2 linked regions of the Drosophila melanogaster genome follow. The protein of the gene in region 1 interacts with the protein of each later gene in a pairwise test. Each region holds a gene or a part of one and is shown on either strand. Other genes may lie near its edges.

Region 1 (3,316 bases):
AGAAGCTCTCCAAGGCCTATAACTTGGTTCAGTCCGTGGTCTGGCAAACACCGATGTCCGCCCGCCTCACGGATGAGAACTTCACGGAGTTCTCCGAACTGGAAAACTGGAACGCGCAGAGCTGGGGAATCTACCAGGCGCTGCAGATGAACTGCCAGCACTTCTTCACCGAGTGCCAGTGGCGTCGCAAGGCGATGAACTGCTGTGACCTATTCCGACCCACCAAGACCTTCAATGGCTTCGCCTTCGAGTTCAACTCACTGGTCTCCTCGGGAAGAGATGAAACGTGGCCCTGGTCCGTGGCTTCATGCGGATCATATAGCGGACTCAATGTGAAGATCAAACGGCAGCAGGGTCTGTATACGTTGAATACAATGGGGGTGAGTCCGATAAGACATATGTACATAGATAGTGCGTCATGACATGGAGTAATTACCACACCAGGTGATAGTGCACGAACCGACCCAGTTGCTGGGCATGAGCATTGACTATTCCTCAGAGGATCGCATCGTGGTTCCGGTGGAACCACTTCATTTCACAGCCGAGTTGGATGTCCGGGCACGTCCCGTTCAAATGCGTCGTTGTTACTTTGAGGTCGGTTTCCTTAGCCAAATATATACTAGCTCTTAAACTTAATTTTACCTTAGAATGAGATACCAACGGGAAAGTCCCGGTCGGAGTGCATCTACAAGTGCCACGTCAACTACATCATCAGCAAGTGCAACTGCTCCTTGGAACTGCCGGTGAAGGCCACTCAAGATGAGGACAACATTGCGGCTGCAAAGGAAAGCAACGGACGTAGAATTTGCGGTGTGAAGGATCTGGCCTGCTTCAATCAGCACCGACGTGGGTCTAATTCTAAACTTAAATCATATATATATGATATATATGTACTGAATTCCGCTTAGTTTCCCTCTTTTCCATGAGCAACATCATCGAAGAGTCCCGTGATAATGTGTTCTCCACCGTGGATTGCGGTTGCTTTCCTCAGTGCGGTCACACCCAGTACCACACGTCAACCTACACGGAGAAGATGAGCGCCCACACCAACCTTGCCGCAGCGATCGAGATAGATGTGTACTTCCAGGAGGAGACCCTCTTCTCTTACCGCTCCATGCTCCGCTTCACGCTGATCGACTTAATGGGTGAGTTTGGGATCAATCACAGCTGCGATGACATGTACCCCCTACCCTTCACTTGTAGTTTCCTATGGAGGAATAGCCGGTTTGATCATGGGCATCTCGGTGCTAGGTTGCATCAACGAACTCTTGGATCGCTTCGCCTGTTGTCGCATACCCCATGGCTCCTAGGCCCAAGCTGGCACCATGAAGTACCAGCCATCGGCAGCTGGGTTCTCACGTTCCCACACTTACCTGTAACCGAAGCACACACAAATGCACCACTCACCTGGTTCTTGGGATGCGCACATAAACAAATCCAGAAAATAAAACGCATTCGGAGAGCTACCTGCATGGCAGTGGAAAATTTTCAGGTGCAGCTCCAACCAGACATAACAAAACTGTAGGCTTTCTTCAGAAAAAGAAATTGAATAAGAATATTGTTTTTAAGTCCCAGAAATCCATTTTCAATTTAGAAGTCTGTTTTTGTAACTTGAAACATTGAGTAAATAAATTCCTTATAGAGCACATACTTATATATGCCTTCAATAAAATGCCGAAAATAAATGTAATTGCAAGTATTTTTAATTTTCTGCACAGCGACTGTATTTTTTGCAGTGCACCCAAATATGCTGCGTTTGCTAAACGTGGGTATTAATCTGTTTTCAGCAACAACAAAAATAAGCGCGCCAATTTGCCAAAGATTAAAGGGGAGCTGTCTTATCAGCGACTGAGCCCATGGAGGTTATTAGAAGGCATCCATCCAGATTCCAGATTCTTTGTTGTCCACTTGTGCCCCCAAGCATAAAAGCCCATCACAAAAGAATCAGATGCCCAGCTTGGAGTTGAGCATAAAAATAAACTGGGGATCTACAAGCATAATCGCGCCTTGGAGACCCCTCAGGTACCAAGTCCATTCCCGAACTCAAATCGGATCCCTCGCTCTCGTATAAATAGGGGCTGCCTGGCCCTATTTCAAAACAGTCTTCGCTCGATCGCTGGAGGAATACATACATAGGTGGAAAGAAAGTGAAAATGAAGGTTTTCGTTGCCATCTGCGTGCTGATTGGACTGGTGAGTGCTCGATACAGATAAACGGCGACCAGGACCAGAATAATTCAACGCCTTCCCTTGGGTTATAGGCCTCCGCCGACTATGTGGTGAAGAACCGACACGACATGCTGGCCTACCGCGATGAGTGCGTCAAGGAGCTGGCCGTGCCCGTGGATCTGGTGGAGAAGTACCAGAAGTGGGAGTACCCCAACGACGCCAAGACCCAGTGCTACATCAAGTGCGTCTTCACCAAGTGGGGCCTGTTCGACGTCCAGAGCGGTTTCAACGTGGAGAACATCCACCAACAGCTGGTGGGCAACCACGCTGACCACAACGAGGCCTTCCACGCCTCCTTGGCCGCCTGCGTGGACAAGAACGAGCAGGGATCCAATGCCTGCGAGTGGGCCTACCGCGGAGCCACCTGTCTGCTGAAGGAGAACCTGGCCCAGATCCAGAAGAGCCTGGCCCCGAAGGCCTAGTGGCTTAGGTCCTAGTTGGACGGATGTAACGATAAGCATTAGTTTAGTTAATAAAGTAATTGATTTCCCATACAAGTTCGAGCATTCCTTCTCGATTCAGTGGGGAAAAACAGAATGTAGATATTTCTTCTTCAATGGGGGCCTCAATTTACTTATTAACAACTCCGAGTAGCAATTACATTGAGGATATGCTTTTAGGCAGCCAAACTAAACTAAAACTTTGGCCAACTACTTCCATTCGTCATGTTGCTGTACACCAAGGAACTTGTGATTCCGCGGCCGAGACCAGGACTACTGCGCTTCAGGAACAATCCGCGTGGTATTAAGTTTCGGGAAAAACTGTGCAACTCCTTTGCCCACTCCAACATCCATGGGATGCAGCACGTCTTCGGGGAGCAGCATCTCTGGCAGCGCTGCCTGTGGCTCGCCATCGTCCTGGGAGCGGTGATCACAGGATTCAGTCTGTACACCGTGCTGATGCATCGCCACAGCGAGCAGCTCCTGGTCAGCCTGATAGAGACCACCCAGTTGCCAGTGTACCACATCGACTTTCCAGCTGTGGCCGTTTGCCCCTGGAATCATTTCAACTGGCAGAGGGCTCCGTCGGCATTTATCCGCTTTCTGCCACGTCATCCGAATGCCGAGCTCCGGGAAACATTTCGCCAG
Region 2 (6,344 bases), on another chromosome or scaffold:
CGCCTATTCCGCCCCAGCCGCCAGTCGGCCACTGGAAGCCGGAGGCATCTGTAAGTCAAGTCAAGGGTCAACCCAGTGCGTATTCCACATGATATTCGGCTTTCATTTCACTGCAGCAGTTCCTTCGCGACGGATCGCGCATAGAGGCCGGCTTTCGCCGATACTTCCACCGCGCCTATCCCGACCAAGAGAAGGAGAGCTATACCCTGATCGTGGGACACGGCAACGTGATCCGCTACTTTGTCTGCCGAGCCCTGCAGTTCCCCGCCGAGGGTTGGCTACGGATTAACATTAATCACGCTTCCATCACCTGGCTGACCATCAGTCCATCCGGCAACGTGTCCATCAAGTACCTGGGCGACTCCGGCTTTATGCCCGCCGAGCTGCTTACCAATCGCATACCGCGCGACGTCAAAAACGTGGTTTAGCCGTCTGTTTATAGAACTGCCCAAAGGAGAAGCAATCATAATGTATTTATTTCCAACACTTTAACTGAGACCTTGAGCACAGATCGCGAGACTGTGTAAACCACCATGTACATTTTGCCGCACCGTAACGTATATCTCTTAAGGAGGAATCATTGAATCTTCCGACTGAAATAATAAAGATTTTATAGAATGCCTAACATTTTATTGAGAATCCTTATATGTACAAAAGAAGCCATGAGGAGCCTAAACCCTGCTCAAGACCTTTTGGAGTCGCTGCAAGCACTTGCGTATGCCCACATCTTCTCCAGCGCCGCGTTTTAGCTCCACCTGCTCTGCCTGCTCCCTTATAAAGGATAGGATGGGAGCCACTAGATCCGGCGCCAGCTCTGCCAGGTTGATCAGCATCTGGAAGTAAAAGTAAGTGCAGTGGGCCAGGTGCTTTTCGGCGAGGGATCGCAAGTGATTGGAGCACATATCCCTGACCGCCTGTGATCGCTTGTAGGCATCGTGCGATATAAGCACTTTATAAAGTCCAAACACTTGGTTGCGACTGAGGTCCACTTCGTCCACGAACATTACGTGTTCCAGCAGCGGGATGTGCACGCCGCGCAAAACGGTTAGCAGCTGTTCTTCCTGCTCTTTGCCAGTGCTCTCTATCAGTTGCTGCATTATAGTGATCACCAAGCCCGCATGCTGTCCTGCCCTCCGCCGCTGGACCACCAAAAACTGGGTAACGAGGAGCTGAAGCACAAACTGCGCCAGCTCTCCATCTACATCCGCCTGGAGGAGGGTGGCATATGGACGGGCCACCAGCTTGGCGTTGGATGAGAAGCTAAAGTGCGGCGTCCAGTGCTGAACTAGTTGCTCCAAAGTCTTGGCCACGTATGCGTCCGTGCGGTAAGGCAGTCGACCAATGCCTTGCAGCAACACTGGGAAAATCTTGTGAACCACTTGTGGAAGGCGACCTTCGGGCGGCACTCCTGCCTGCAACTGCGTGGTGAGCAGGAACCGCACCATGGCCAGGTGGAAGAAGCAGCTCGGCTTGGATCGCACGTACGCTAGAGTGGAACAATTATAGATGACAATGGCTAGGAAGCTGTAGAACCGGGAACCGAGTTCCGATCGGCTTCGATCCGGGGGTAGCCATAGCTCGAAATGATTTACATAGGCATGCAGTTTGTGGCTCAACTGCATACGGACGTGGGCAGCAGCCTCCTCTTGCTGGGCACGCCTTCCCAGAGCTCCAAAGAAGGCGCAGAGAGGCTCGCGCCCGCCCTCCAAAGAGGTGGGATCAATGGCCAGAAGTCGGAACTCCTCTAGCTGTGTGACATGGGGCATTAAAGCCAATACAGATTCGTGTTGTGCGTTTAGGAGGACCAGAGACTTCACCCAGACCTGAAGAATGGTGGAGCTGGCAGGTCGCCCTCCGTCTTCCAACACCTGGAGCAACAACTGAGCAGAAGCAGCCATATTGATGGGTTCTGGTCCCTGCAGGAAGCCCAGTAGCAGTTTGTCCCCATTATTCTCCAGGGCGATGAAGTTAGCCGCTAGCTTTGGAAGCCATGAGCTATGGCTACTAACGTATTGGGTCCTCACCAGTGGCATTATGTGCTGTTGAAGTGCCTCCTTGATGCCACTCGCATTGCCAGCCACAGCTCTCCGCTCGCTGAGACGGAGGATTAAATTGTGAAGCGTCTGCCATACGCGATCCTGCGATGCCTGCCCACACTTTTCGACGTAATGTGCCAGCCATGGCCCGAGAAGCTGCTGCTCGCCGCGGTTGAAGTCATCCGCCAGATTAAAGATGGCTTGAAGGCTGCCCACATAAATGGCGCCCACCTCTGCATCATTGCGAATGGTGGCCAACTGGTTGAGCAGCTTGCTCACATAGTCATCCATAGATAGGCGATGCTGGGCATGCAGAAGCAGCAGGGCCATGTGTCCCTTGGCCACGAGAATCCTTCGCACCGGAGGCAGTTTTTCCAGGGCCAGGCAGAGCAACATTTCGCGCAGCTTGGGCGCCAACTCGCTGAGATCTTCGTGGCAGAGCAGCAGGCACAGAAACAGCTCGATCACATGGTGAATACCAGGCTCATTCAGAGCCAAAAGTTTCGCGGCACTAAACTTGCTGAATATGCGGCCGAGTAGTTTCTGACGTTGGTTGCTTCTGCCCTGCGATGGTAAAAGCTTCAAGGTTTTGCCCAGCATCCACGCGTACATGGTGAAACTGCTCAGATTCAAATCTTCTATATGCGACTTAGACAGCAGTTTGTTGTAGCGATCGACGTAGGCCGACCCATTGGAACAGGTAAGCGGCAGCTGATCTAGCTCAGTTCCCACACTAAAATTGCAGTTGAGGGATCGGTGAAAGTACTCCCACAGCTGGCACAGGACATCAGTATCCGGCTTGCCCAGCTGCAGTTGAAGGGGAGAGAGTTGAATTAGGTAGACCCGCCGCTGCTGTTCGTCCGGCTGGCTCGCCAGAAATTGCTTAAGCAGACTGGCAGTTTGGAAGCTTTCTGGTGCCGCAGTGAGCGGCGAGTGATCCGGCTGGTACCAACCCTCACTGTTGTATTCGTCCAAGCGGGCCAGTCCTAGCCTCAACCAGGAATAGAGTTCGTGGTATGCCAGAGAAATTGCATTGCTCTCACCTCGAGAAGAAAAACGACTATAAGATGAGGGGAAGCCGCACGGTCTAGCTTCTTTGTGCACTCACCCTGGAAGTGGAGTGACTTGTGCCTCTGCATGGCCTTGTGGAATAGAGTCCAAAAGTCTAGCTCCCGTTCTCCCAGCCATTTGGGAATAAGACGTTTCAGCAGCAGCCACAGCTCCTTGTTGCAGCGACACATGAACGGCGAGGAATGGATGAGCTCCGAGCGATGTTTGCTGCGGTAGTGATGTCCAGCACAAACGATCAGATCGTCGAGTGTGCGCTCCAGCTGCCCTAGGAACGCTTGATCATTCCCAGAGGCGTACAGTATATGCAGGTCCAGAAAACGCCACTCCAGTACGCCGTGATACAGGTGATACGCCGGCGCCTGGCAGTCGTTTCCCTTGTTGTGCTCCGCAAAATACAAAACCTTCCAGGTATCCGCATCCAGCTGATCGTTGAGCAATTGTCGAAACCCATCAAGAAAATGTGAAGGCAGCAGCTCATTGCCTCGTAGGAGCAGCATCAGATGGTAGAAGTGTGTGACCTGCTGGCGCACTCTATACCAACCAGAGTTCATAGAGGCGGCCGTGGCCTGCAGGTGTTGCTGGCCCATCACGACGGTTAACAGCTTCTGCACATTCTTACTGAGAATGGAAGAGTTGTACTTGTTGGCAGCTGCCAGGGGAGCTCTAAACTCACCAGGCCTCGCCGTACAGGTAGTTTCTTACCGCGCCAACCGCTAATTGAGCCGGAGCAAAGTCAAAACAGAGATAATCCAGGCGAGAGCGGGGCGGATCCAATTGGGCGTAGCCATTCCCCAGAAAGCCTCCCTCGCACAGTTGGCTCTTCAGAGTGTCTCGGCCACTGCAGTTGAACTCGGGCAAGTGTAGACCGTCGACTAGGTCCTCTTCGCTATCGTCCACGTCTATTTGCGCGCTCAGGGTTTCCTGCTTCTGTGTCGCCTGTATGAAGGTAGCCAGGATCTCCTCGTCATCCGACTGAAAAAGGTCGTAGTCCATGGTGCAGTCGGGGATTTGGCGTTCGAAACCAATTCTCTGGCGGATAAGATTTTGCGCGGCGATATATTTTATTATTATTAGAGCGCTGTGCAACACTGTCACAAAGCCGATAGCTTCGATAACGGCCGATAAACAGGTAATCTTTGTGACATTTGGACTTTTGTTTTGGACCTGATTTGGCCCCTTTTCTTATCGTTGGTTGCCCCAGTTACGTAGCATCTCCACTTCGAACACCATGTCTTTCCGCCCATTGGTCGAGGGCGACTGCGGTGGAGTTAATCCTCTCATGCAACTGGGCGGACAGTTCACCCGCGATGTTGCCCACAAGGATGAGGGCTATGTGCAGCGACACTTCGAGCGCGCTGCTCGTCCCGAGGACCAGTTGATCAACGAGTTCCTGGGACAGGTCACTGCCCCACCGCAGTCATTTCAGATGGACACTCTGCTCCAGGAGATGCGGGACATAAATATTCACGGAAATCCGCAGCAGCAGATGCACTCTCAGCAGGCGGAGCAGTGGGGACAGGACTTTGCCCGCGGACTGGCACCCGCCCTGCCCAACAAGATGATCCACATGCAGGCACAGCAGCAGGACCTGCAGCATGCCCAGGAGTTCTTCGACGAGCCCCTGATCAGTAGCCAGAACTTTCGGTCCCTGCCGCCATTGCGTCAGCCTTTGATGCCCATTGCGGCAGGACAGCAACAGGACCCCTTCTTTGACTCCGCCATGGAAACTATAATCACAGATCATCTGCCACAGGCGCCACAGGGGGAATCGCTGGACGACTGGATCAGCGACTACCAGCGCAGCACCGAACAAAAAGAGCAAACCGCCGCCAACTTCAACGAAAAGTTCTGGGAGCGGCTGCAAGACGAGTGGCAGAAGCTGGCCGACGAGAACGAGCATCCGTGGCTGTCGGAGTACAACGACAATATGGACGCTTATAAGGAGTACGAGTTCGCCGAGGGCAACCCCATGTCTGATGTGGAGAACCCGTTTGAAAAGGGTAAGGAGTACCTGTCCAAAGGGGATATACCCAGCGCAGTTCTATGTTTCGAGGTGGCGGCCAAAAAGCAACCGGAGCGCGCTGAGGTCTGGCAGTTGCTGGGCACTTCGCAGACAGAGAACGAAATGGATCCCCAGGCCATTGCGGCACTTAAGCGGGCTTACGACTTGCAACCGGACAACCAACAGGTCCTGATGGCCCTGGCCGCGTGCTACACCAACGAGGGCCTGCAGAACAACGCCGTGCGCATGCTGTGCAACTGGCTGACAGTGCATCCCAAGTATCAGCACCTGGTCGCAGCCCATCCGGAGCTGCAGGCCGAGGGCACTTCGTTGGCTTCGTCGCTGATTGGTCCGAGTAAGCTGCGCGATCTGCAGCAGATCTACTTGGAAGCCGTTCGACAGCACCCTTCGGAGGTGGATGCCGAAGTCCAGGATGCCCTCGGCGTGCTCTACAATCTATCTGGGGAGTTCGACAAGGCGGTGGACTGCTACCAGTCCGCTCTGCAGGTGGATCCCCAAAATGCGAAGACATGGAACCGATTGGGGGCCAGTTTGGCCAACGGCTCGCGCTCCGTGGAGGCGGTGGAGGCTTATCAGCAGGCGCTGCAGCTCCAACCGGGCTTCATCCGTGTGCGTTACAACGTGGGCGTATGTTGCATGAACCTTAAGGCCTACAAGGAAGCTGTGGAGCACTTACTCACAGCGCTTACCATGCAGGCTCACACTAACGCCGCCCGAGAGCTGCCCAATGCGGCGATGGCGGCTACCTTTAGAGGACAGAACCAGATGTCCGAGTCTATTTGGAGTACGCTGAAGATGGTCATTTCGCTGATGGGCCGCAGCGATCTCCAGAGTTATGTGAGCGATCGCAATCTGGCGGCTCTTAATGAGGCCTTTAAGGATTAACCGCCCCGCAGCTTCTTTATCACTGCTTTGGGAAAGTCCGTTGTTGTCGTGTCATGTGGGTGTGTAAGGTTGAATTTGAGATATTTTTTACTCTGGCAGTGTAATCATTCCCTCTCGGTTCTTTTCTGTAAATTTGTATATTTTCTTACATTTAAGAAATTAAATAACTGTTGGATAAATGCGATGTGCACTTTTATTGTAAACTACGGCATGCCGCCCAGTCGCTTGTAGTCGATCTTCTCGAGCTGCACGAGTGGCTTTAGTTGCTCGGCAAACACGCGCATTTCCTCGCCGACATTCTCCTGCCCCGTTGGCGCCACCACAGAGAG

What was found.
Region 2: the proteins of Obp99a (region 1) and CG14803 interact in a two-hybrid assay, tested with the Drosophila melanogaster proteins (one large-scale study listed by BioGRID).

Annotation. Positions count from the first base shown.
Region 1 is NT_033777.3:29,669,563-29,672,878, forward strand, and holds Obp99a (Odorant-binding protein 99a), read left to right. Parts: upstream 1-2,094; 5' UTR 2,095-2,153; coding exon 2,154-2,192; intron 2,193-2,260; coding exon 2,261-2,650; 3' UTR 2,651-2,772; downstream 2,773-3,316. Other genes in the region: ppk30 (pickpocket 30), read left to right, coding at 1-380, 445-594, 648-846, 909-1,145, 1,204-1,310; ppk19 (pickpocket 19), read left to right, coding at 2,894-3,316. UniProt on the Drosophila melanogaster protein: Present in the aqueous fluid surrounding olfactory sensory dendrites and are thought to aid in the capture and transport of hydrophobic odorants into and through this fluid.
Region 2 is NC_004354.4:1,866,679-1,873,022, reverse strand, and holds CG14803 (uncharacterized protein), read right to left. Parts: upstream 4,101-6,344; coding exon 3,781-4,100; intron 3,726-3,780; coding exon 3,145-3,725; intron 3,080-3,144; coding exon 672-3,079; 3' UTR 615-671; downstream 1-614. Other genes in the region: Pgam5 (phosphoglycerate mutase 5), read left to right, coding at 1-50, 117-428; Pex5 (peroxin 5), read left to right, coding at 4,099-4,236, 4,309-6,015; MED18 (mediator complex subunit 18), read right to left, coding at 6,219-6,344. UniProt on the Drosophila melanogaster protein: Involved in recombination-dependent repair of stalled or collapsed replication forks.